Linked DNA regions of Drosophila melanogaster. The protein of the gene in region 2 purifies or fractionates together with the protein of the main gene of each other region. This does not show direct contact. Each region holds a gene or a part of one and is shown on either strand. Other genes may lie near its edges. The genes, in order: Pbp49 and Bdp1.

What was found.
Region 1: the proteins of Bdp1 (region 2) and Pbp49 fractionate together in Drosophila melanogaster (co-fractionation; one study listed by BioGRID). This does not show direct contact.

The regions. Positions count from the first base shown.
Region 1 is NT_033778.4:8,128,557-8,133,123, forward strand, and holds Pbp49 (PSEA-binding protein 49kD), read right to left. Parts: upstream 2,768-4,567; 5' UTR 2,700-2,767; exon of another isoform or gene 2,617-2,699; 5' UTR 2,589-2,616; coding exon of another isoform or gene 2,136-2,588; 5' UTR 2,073-2,135; coding exon 939-2,072; 3' UTR 798-938; downstream 1-797. Other genes in the region: Socs44A (suppressor of cytokine signaling at 44A), read left to right, coding at 1-239; CG42516 (uncharacterized protein), read right to left, coding at 2,136-2,588; Pabp2, read left to right, coding at 3,478-3,576, 3,834-4,235, 4,386-4,519.
Region 2 is NT_033779.5:13,370,849-13,376,038, forward strand, and holds Bdp1 (B double prime 1), read right to left. Parts: upstream 2,977-5,190; 5' UTR 2,856-2,976; coding exon 1,847-2,855; intron 1,789-1,846; coding exon 1,460-1,788; intron 1,406-1,459; coding exon 656-1,405; 3' UTR 579-655; downstream 1-578. Other genes in the region: ND-B22 (NADH dehydrogenase (ubiquinone) B22 subunit), read right to left, coding at 1-91; CG6565 (uncharacterized protein), read left to right, coding at 3,656-4,303, 4,363-4,992.

The DNA.
Region 1 (4,567 bases), on a different chromosome or scaffold from region 2:
ACCGCTGCACCAACGACAACTTTGTGTGCTTTGTGAAGGTTCCCAACGAGATGCAGCCACCGTTTCCAGTGATCCTCAAGTACCCGTTGAGCCGGTACTCCAACATGCCCAAGCTGCAGGACTTATGCCGCCGTGTTCTGCAGCGCCAGATGTCTCGCGAACAGCTGGCCCAGTTGCCAGTGCCGGCGCAGATGCTGGAGTACTTGTCGGTGGAGCGGGAGCTGGTCTTCCAGAGTTAGGCAACCGCCGCCCGCCGTCGAGAAGCCGCTGGTCAAAGCTTTAACACTGAAGTAAACGCAAGCGCGTACACCAAAGAGGTCCGGGCGAATGGAATCCCAGCCTGCAGTTGTTCGTAATGATATTTGTTGGTCGGATTGGCAATATGTTGTTGATGCATTTCTACGCCCCAGTAACTAAGCGCACAGTCTCTCTTCACGTGCACGCCGGAATCCCAGTGCACAGAATTTTACTGTATTGTACTGCTAAGTACGGTTAGTACTAGTATCTTGTCTAGGATAATGTATTATGTTATTTGCCATATTTAGTCTATTGGTTTGTTTTATATGGGTCCTGGTCAAGTCTATACTCTGCACCACAGTGTGCAAATCCTTAAGCAAATTTTTAAACATTGAACTACTGCATATATGTATTAACGTAAGTTCTAAGCCAGATGTATCGTACTATTTACGTTGTTTGCATTTTTGTATTCCTAACTTGGACACTAACTTTTTGCTAATCTAGATTGCATGGAATTTAGGCAGCTTTACGGCAATCGAATACGTTCAATGCCAATTACTCTTGTTGCAACGTGTATGTATTTTATTTAAATCTATCTATGAATATTTTACAAGAACAAAATATCAATCAACTCCTTGAGCGATCTTGCAGTCAAAGGAGCTCGCAAATAAAGAAAAAATCACACAAATGTATATGTATATTCAGGAGGGGAGATTTTGCTGTTTAATGTCCTCCTCTTCGCCCTCCAGCTCTACATGGTCATACATGCGATAGGCTTTGAACTGGCCCAGCTTGACACCATCCACGTAAAAGAAGCTGAGAAAACATCTGCGGCACAGGTAGGAGGGATCGTGCAGCTGTCGCCGGGACTGGTTCACGATGAAGCTATAGCTGCGAATGCCGCACATATAGCAAGTCCTGCGATTAAACGTACTGAAGGCGTGAGGATAGGGATACAGGCTGCGATCTGGCCGTTTACTAAGTGGCGTTAGCACCTCTACCTGGGAGATCACAAACAGGTGTTCGCAATTGCCGTGGTGCAGGTAGTGTAGCGGTGATCCGGGGCTGACAGTGAGATCGATGAATCTTTTGCCCTCCATACTCTCCACCTTAAGCGTTTCTCCGTTCACTCCGTTCGCTCTGGCAGCCCACTGCAAGACGGTCTTGGAATAGTCGGGATTGTCCGGATTGCGCTGGTCGTTGTAGAATGTGTCGTTGATGAAGAAGTAACCGGGATTTGTGTCAATGGATGGCAACGGTGCATCTGGATCGTCGCTGATGTCGACAAACCGTTTTCCATTGCAAACGCAGCTGATCTTGTCCCGCAGCTCGGTCAGATAATTGCTGCCCAGACATACGAACTCCTCGGCGAAAACGGGAATCTCCACCTTAAACCCGCGATGGTAGGCCCGCGGTGGTCGATATAGACGCACGGTTAGCTCCAGTTCGCCGCAAGCATCGATGTGCAGGTTAGGCGAGTCTGTCGGCGTCGGATTCAGTTTGTGGCTGTACTGGGTGCGGCCAAAGGGACACTTACGGGACTTGTCCTTGTGCTGGCTTAGAGCAGTAAAAGTGGAGGGCACATGCTGGTTCTCCTGCGGCGGAGAAAAGGTTGGGCGGCATTTGTCTGCGGCGGGCTGGAAGACTGCAATCGAGCTGTCGTCTGGGGACTCGATCAAGTCCAGGGAACAGCTTTCAGACACGTCGACAAGTACTGGGTTTTTTTGGAGAAAGAAGGGCACTTCGTCTGCAGTACCGGATATTTTCTTTTGATAGTCGGCTAGAAAGTCTCGCAGGCTTAAAGCTGGATTCGTTGTAATATAGGTGGTATCCATGGTACTAAGAGGTATGTCTTGAAAGAGTGTTTTTTGTTCAGGATTAGACTCAGTTCTCCACACTCAATGATCTTCTCCAAACTTGTTAATAGCCTCCTTGTAAGTTATATTTAGCTTCAGAGATTCTGGCTTTGGCTCGGTCTGATCGTCCTCTTCAGTCTCAGCCGACTTCTCCACCTCCTGGTGCAAATTGTCCACGTAGACCCTTTCAAAAGATATCACCTTGGTGGATTTGTCCACGTACTGGTACCGCTGGCGACACACTGACTCAAAAAGCGGATCACTTGCCAGATTGTCTTTTTCCTTCTCAAAGAACACGTTGGTTCCCACGGAATGTTCGTAGCGTCCCCGATAAATGCTTCCATTTACCTCGGCCATGGGCGTGTCACTCTCGATTCCGATGATCTTAATGGCCGCGTCCTCGTGCTTCAGCTGGTGCGGATGAATGTGGTTCTTGAAATCCGCAAATACCAGGTACTCTGTGTCCTCGTACTCCGAATCGGAGGAATCGTTCATGTTCTCCTTTTATCGTTATGCATGGGCCCTGATTGATGGTTGAATGATGGCGTTATTTCGCAATATATGACTTCCTTAAACAATAATTTGTCTGATTCCCATTTACAAAACCTTGTTAGAAATGTGCGTGCACATTCCTCTTCTTTCCTTCCTATGGTAAATTTAAAATGGCATTGTGGTGTGAAAATACTATTATTTTTATCATCCAAAGAACTGCTTTCTTAAATACCGGCAGTTATCGATAGGTAAACCCACCACCAAACCATCGAAACTATCGAGGCGAAAACTGTCATCGGTAAAAACGAGGCGAACACAAATCTGTTTCAATTTGTGTCAAAAACTACGTACGTTTTCGTATAGTTGTAAATATTAGTAAATAATAAATAAATAAGCTTATAAATAAATATTTATGCTGACGTGGTGTGGCGCGAAACAAAGTCGAAAAGGGTTTAAAAACGTAGACTTTTGAACGAAAAACAGCAACCCAGCAACCCAGCGTACGTGTGTTTTCACAGGGCAGCCATTTTGGGCGAACTCAACGTCAGCAGAACGAGCTCGTAATTTGTACATTTATTAAACGTAAGTACAGTGTGTTTAATTAAATATCAGTGTAGTAGTGCGAACGCAGTGAAACCTAGACATTTCGGTGTCCGCAGCCTGAATTTATTTACTTATGGCTTGGATTTTCACTGCATTTGCATGATGAACTCTTCATTCGCGCTCTTAATGTTTTACGCTCTTTATGCTCACTTTCGCCGCCCTTTTCTCATTGACAGCTACCATACATACATAGTTACGACAACTGCCGTTTTGAGTACCACGCCGGAAGCTTTTGCGCCAACAAAACCGAGCTTTTGTAGCAGACGTAAACAAACCCAAATCCAAAGCAATGGCCGATGAAGATATCACATTGAACGAGGATCAGCTCCTGGAGTCATTGGAGGAGACGAACGGGGAGCAAGAGACTGAGATCGCCACAGAGGTCGAGGTGAGTTGGGGTTGCCCTTGTAGACAGTGCCCAAGAACCAGTTTCTTGGCCTCACGCCTTGCGAAAGCCCGCCGAATTCCCTGGAAAAGCTCGCAAAGCTTTGGGGGATATACAAAGCCGAAAACCGCAGCAATGGCTGCCATTTTCAGAGCGTCACTTCGCACCGCCACTCCATTCCATTGTCTGCTGTGGTTTCGGGCGTTTGCTCATCGCTCCAAATCAAATACCACTAAATTTCATATTTTCCTCGTCGCCAGGAGGAGGGCAGCATGCAAATCGACCCGGAACTGGAGGCCATAAAGGCTCGAGTCAAGGAGATGGAAGAGGAGGCCGAGAAGATAAAGCAGATGCAGTCGGAGGTGGACAAACAAATGGCCGGTGGGTCTACCACCGGCTTGGCCACAGTCCCGCTTTCTCTTGAGGAGAAGCAGGAAATCGACACGCGGTCCGTCTACGTGGGCAATGTGGACTACGGCGCATCGGCCGAGGAACTGGAGGCCCACTTCCACGGATGCGGCACAATCAACCGAGTAACCATACTCTGCAACAAGGCTGACGGGCACCCCAAGGGATTCGCATACATTGAGTTTGGTTCCAAGGAGTTTGTCGAGACGGCATTGGCCATGAACGAAACCCTCTTCCGAGGGCGTCAAATAAAGGTGAGTATCTGAAGCACTTTTTGCTAGTCCTGCTACCTATCAAACTCTCATGTACATATGTGGATAGAATGAGTCCTAGGGACTCCTACGTAGCGCAATTTTGAAAGCACATATTTAGAGTTGACTTTAGCTTAATCTATTGACTTTCAGGTAATGTCGAAGCGCACAAACCGCCCTGGACTCTCCACCACAAACCGTTTCGCACGCGGCAGCTTCCGGGGTCGAGGAGCCCGTGTCTCCCGGGCGTGCTGTCACTCCACCTTCCGAGGCGCCCGAAGAGCTATGTAAGTGGGCTCTGGAAAATCCCGATTGGATCGAGCTAATCCCGGTCT
Region 2 (5,190 bases):
CGTACCACGACTCTAAGTTGCGCAGTGCTCGCTTGTACAGGCTGCACACCTGGCGCTTGTGCGAGACGATTGCCAAGGGAACTTGGGCCATCGTTTTTTACTATATTGGTTAAATTGTATTAATTTGCTACCGCAGCCGAGGCAACAACAACAACAGCTGTCAAAAGTCCAGTGCTCTAAAGCCCTGCGCCTGAAAATATGTGTTGCGAAGCGAAAAATAATTTTAGAGAACGGCAACTCTGAAATGAATGGAAATTCAAAAAATATTTATATATTTGATTTAAATTTTCTATACAAAAGCAATGGCTATCTTTGCATTTTATACAAGCTTTTGTTATTGCAAGAAATCGAAATGATCCTGTCTAGAGTAGATACCTATAACCAAACACTTTTAATGCTTAAAAGCCTTCTTGCTACCCTATTTTATTTATAAAATAAGACTATTTTGACAAATCTGTTATAATTGTATATTAATTACAATTTTTTTTAGGAATAGTTAAAGAAACCAAGAAAGTCAGTCCCATTTTTGCATTTTTTGCAATTCCCTTTGAATTTGCGAGGAACAAGAAAGTAATTTTGTAAATACATCTAGCGAAATGCTTTAATAAATTATAACTGTTAACAAATACTCTTAAGATATAAATATAAAATGTCGTTAGTCCTCTGGCTGCATAACATTCATTATGCATTGAACAATATGCTCTGGTATTTTCAGAGGCGTTTCGCACAACTCGCCCGTTTTTTTGTCCAGCATGTAGATTTCGTTGAGCACACGATCCTCGTGCTCTGGATCCAAGGACGAGACGAGAGCCAGAGATCCTTCCGCAAGCTCGGCGAGAATTTGTTCGATATCCGGTTCGGTAGTGGACGGCGGAATGGGGTCATCCGGCGTTATAAGTTCATGATCTTGGTCTTCAATGAAGTTTATTAAATATGTCTCTGCCTTTCGATTGGGCGTCTCTGGGGCGGGTTCGACGTCGCTGACATAGCTTAGGGTACCATCATCCATATTGATAATAGTTTTATCACGTGGCTTGTTTACATCTACGTCATATTCCACCGGATCATCCATGAGGAGGCCATTGAGCTCAGCCTGCAGTTCTCCCCCCGTTGGCAAATGACTACTCGTTTGTTCGGTTTTGATCGTTTTTTCCTGCTTAATGGCCGCCACATCAGACAGGCTTTCCGTTGCCGCTGGAACTGAAACCTTGGGAGATCGTCGCTTAGCCTTTGGCTTACGTTTGGCCGGCGCACTTCCGTCGTTCTCATCGGTCTCCAACTCCTTTCGCCTTTTGGCCCAGGCGTGCTTGCCGAGCTTTGTACTCGTTACGTGCTCGTTTTCGTAGACAACATCACCATCGTTTAGTGCCCTTGAGGCCTTGCTTTGCTGCTGTACTCGGGAACGCTAAATATAATTAAAAAATGTAATGGTGATTACAGTCAGCTACAAATTATTTACCTTCTTAGGGTTTCCCGGAAGAGCTCGTGCGATTTCCCTCCACTTGCGATCATTTTCTTCCCTTTCGCGGTCCTCCTCTTCCAGTTGATCCTTGAGCTCCTGAATGTTGAAGGCCTTAGGATAGAGGAGTGCTTTGTTTATGAGCTGCCCATTGGTTCGCTCTTCCTTTTTGTACTTCAGCTTTAGATCCCGACGTGAACGTGTTGGAAACATTTGGCACATCAGCGAGAAGTCCGTCCCAATGATCTGCAGGCTGCGGTAGAAGCGGACGGTCTCATCGGAGGTCCAGTATGGCGTGCGCTTGTGGCGTTTATAGAATCCATTATCTCCTGCAAAGTATAAAATTCGTTAAGTATTCAACTTTTATGTATTAACTCTGCGGCGCACCCGTAGTCTCGTCCATTAGGATTAACGATGAGTTGGCTAGCACCTTGCGGGCCTCCACCTCGGCCGTGGTTTCGATCTCCAATGTTTTCTCATCAATGATCATCTCGCCATTGGCATCAAGCTTTAGCTGAGGCACTAACATAGCGGATGTGGACTCTCCCTTGGGTTCCAATAGTTGACTGACTGCGGGCTTGGAATCATCGCCACCAGACTCATCCTTGATGGTCGTCACCGACTGTTTGGGCACCATGGGATTGTTCTCCGGATTGTAGAAGATCATGTCCATCATCTTGAACGTGGACTTGTCGGGTACACCCTTATTGAAACGGGTTTCAAAGTCTCGCCGGGCATTTAACCGCTGTCCAATTTGACTTTGCGACCTATCGTCGCCCTTCCTCTGCTTGCTACCTCCTTCGGAATAGGTGGAACAGGTGGATTCGGTGCGAATGCGTCCCATGCCCGGACTAGCGGGCGGTAGGTATTTATAGGGGGACGGAGGCATAGGCGAGTGCACCTGCTGCTGCAAAGGAGTTCCCGATGAAGAACCGCTAAGATAGCGCTCTCGCCGCGTGGGCGTGGCTGGCGACTGATAGTCGCCCTCATAATCACTGGCCATGGGTGAGCCCACGAAGCTGTTGCGTCGCTGGCCAAATACCGGAGTGGGTCGCACACGCTGACGGGCTTGAGCCTTGCTGGGCGACATAGGGAAGCCATTGGTGGTCTTCTGCAAGTCCATCTGAATGACATTGTCCTCGAGGTCCGAGTGGAATACCTCTTCCAGCTGCCCAGCCGAGCTTGCGGGCATCTTGAAGGCGATTGCATCAGCCTCTAGTTCCAATTCCGCAGCAGGGGTCGATGCAACGGGCGGGGACTCAGCCTCTGCTTCCACCACCACCGCCTCCTCCTCCTCATCCTCCTTTTTCGCCGTTGGGAGCTCCTCCCTGCGTGGCTTGCGTTTGATAAGCGACAGGTTGGCCGGAGCCTTGATGCGCTGGCGCCGCATGGACATCCTGCCTGGGTACTCTTAGGCTTCTTCCAGGCTCAACCGCAGTTTCACACATCAAATCGAATCAAAATCTGCGCAACAAAAACAATGCGGCCGCAACCACGAGTTTCCCAAGTATAGTGTTGGCTAACGCCAAAGAGCATTCACAGTGTCCTGGCCATGTAAGAAAGTAGACAACCAATTTATTTAAAGTTTCAAAATGGCTATAAAAAACTTGCAGTACCCAAAAGATTTTTTAACAAATAAAAAAAAAACGAGATAACTGCGTTATTAGAAAGCATGTCAAGTAAATTTATTCGCAGTGTCAAAAATAAATTGGTATAAATTATGGCACACTTCACCAGATTCACGTCAAAAATTTGTACACAGTAAAAGTTTGGTTGAATTTAATATTATTTGTGTTTCAGTGTTGCAGAAAAGTGTGATCACTGATCGTAGCTGTCACCTCTCAGCAGGCGGTTTGCGATTTTCCAACACTGCTGCCTGTAACGGCACAACAACAGGAACAACAACAGCGGAATAACAACAGAAGCAGCAGACAAATTGCAAGTTGCACGTTTTTTCTAATCGGGCAAACATGATAAGTCCGCCCAGATCCTAACCAAGCTCTCGTGCAGTAACGCTTCCGGCAAACCTATCGGGTGTGTCCTGGCTAGAAGTACTAAATTCCCAAAGTTTTCTGGCGACAAATGTGCCAAGTGTGCGGGGGCACAGTAATAGCGAAGGAGCATTAAGAAGTCGCCGCACTTTTGAGTAGGTTGTTATGCAAGCGGGCGGCCGACGGACAAATTGAATTAGCCGGCATGCTGTTCAATCGATTTGTACTGGCCATCAAGAACCAGTCCCGAGAAACGCTGCGTGCCTGGAGCTACCAATGCGAGTCGATTTTCGCCCAGCGCTCGCGTCGCGTTCAGCAGTTGTTCAGTTTCTACCAGTCGGTGTATGGAACTCAGGGTCTGAAGCAGCTATGGCGCGCCTACTACCGCCGGGAGCTGCAGCCTCCGCTGCGGGGAATGGTGATGAGTGCAGTGGGTCTCGTCGGGCTGAATATCAAGCGAATGGGTAGCGATGGCTTCGATTGGAACAAGGAGCGCCTGGCCTTGTCCAACTTTGATCTGTGCCGCCGGGATATTGAGTTTATCAACGCCCTGCCCAACAATCAGCTGTGCGACCGCTGCCAGGCCAAGAAGATGAAATACTGCTACTGTCAGCTGGGCAACCAGCGCTGCAAAAAGGGCCAATCCCAGCCGTCCACCAGCAAAGAGGCGGAGACGGATCCGGACACCAGCATCAGCAATTGTCTGCGACCGTTGGATCTGGACGTGCGCAATGCACCGGCCGGAACGGTACGCATTCAGGCCCAGGACGACCAAAAATGGGAGCCGTACTTTAGCAAAAACGAATTCAGCATTTGGCGGCGGCAGGAGCGCTCCTCCTTATACTCATACAAGGTAAGAGGCCATCTAAAAGTTTTTTAGGGCTCACTTTTATGCCGCCTTTCCGTTTGCAGGTTTATGCTCGATTCGACGACATCACAGCGGACGACTTCCTCCACGTTCAAACGGATTTGGATTACCGTCGCCAGTGGGACGACACGGCCCTAAGACTTGAGCTCATCAGCGAGGATCCCGTCCCGGGCAGCAACTCGCATCTGATATACTGGGAGATGCAGTGGCCACGACTGTTCGCCAATCGCGACTACGTCTATTGTCGCCGCTACATAAAAGACGACAACAAGAAGCTGATATTCATTTGCAACCGCGGAGCCACGCACAACACCTATCCGGCGTTGTCTGGAAAAGTTCGCGTCACTGACTATTGGAGCCTGATGGTCATCAAGCCCTTTCGCGGTTTCCATGAGCCAGGCCTCCACTTTGTCCTCACGTACTTCGACGATCCGGGCATACCCATACCGCAGAATATTAAGTCCTGGGTTACTCAGAAACAAATGCCCGAGTTCCTCACCAAGATGTACGTGGCCACCAAGAACTACGCCTGCTCACGGGCCATCAAGATGAAGGACATGTTTCACGGATTCGCGCTTATCAATGACGAATATACGGCTAATGAGCAACGCGGCAGTTGGTTGGGCAGTTTGAGCCGGCGCAAGGTCAATAGTAAACCCGAAGCAGGTCGTTAACTCCTTTACCATTATATACCTGGCTGCTCCCGCTCCCATGAGACCTCCCTGCCCAACAGAGCCACGTATCAAACCATCCGAAAGCCCAGTTCCATCTTATGTTCATCCCTTCGATCGGCTTTAAAATTCAGGCGAGAGAAATCGAAACCATTGAACATCAGAGCAAGTGTGCAATAGGTGGAAGTTTTGCTCTTAACA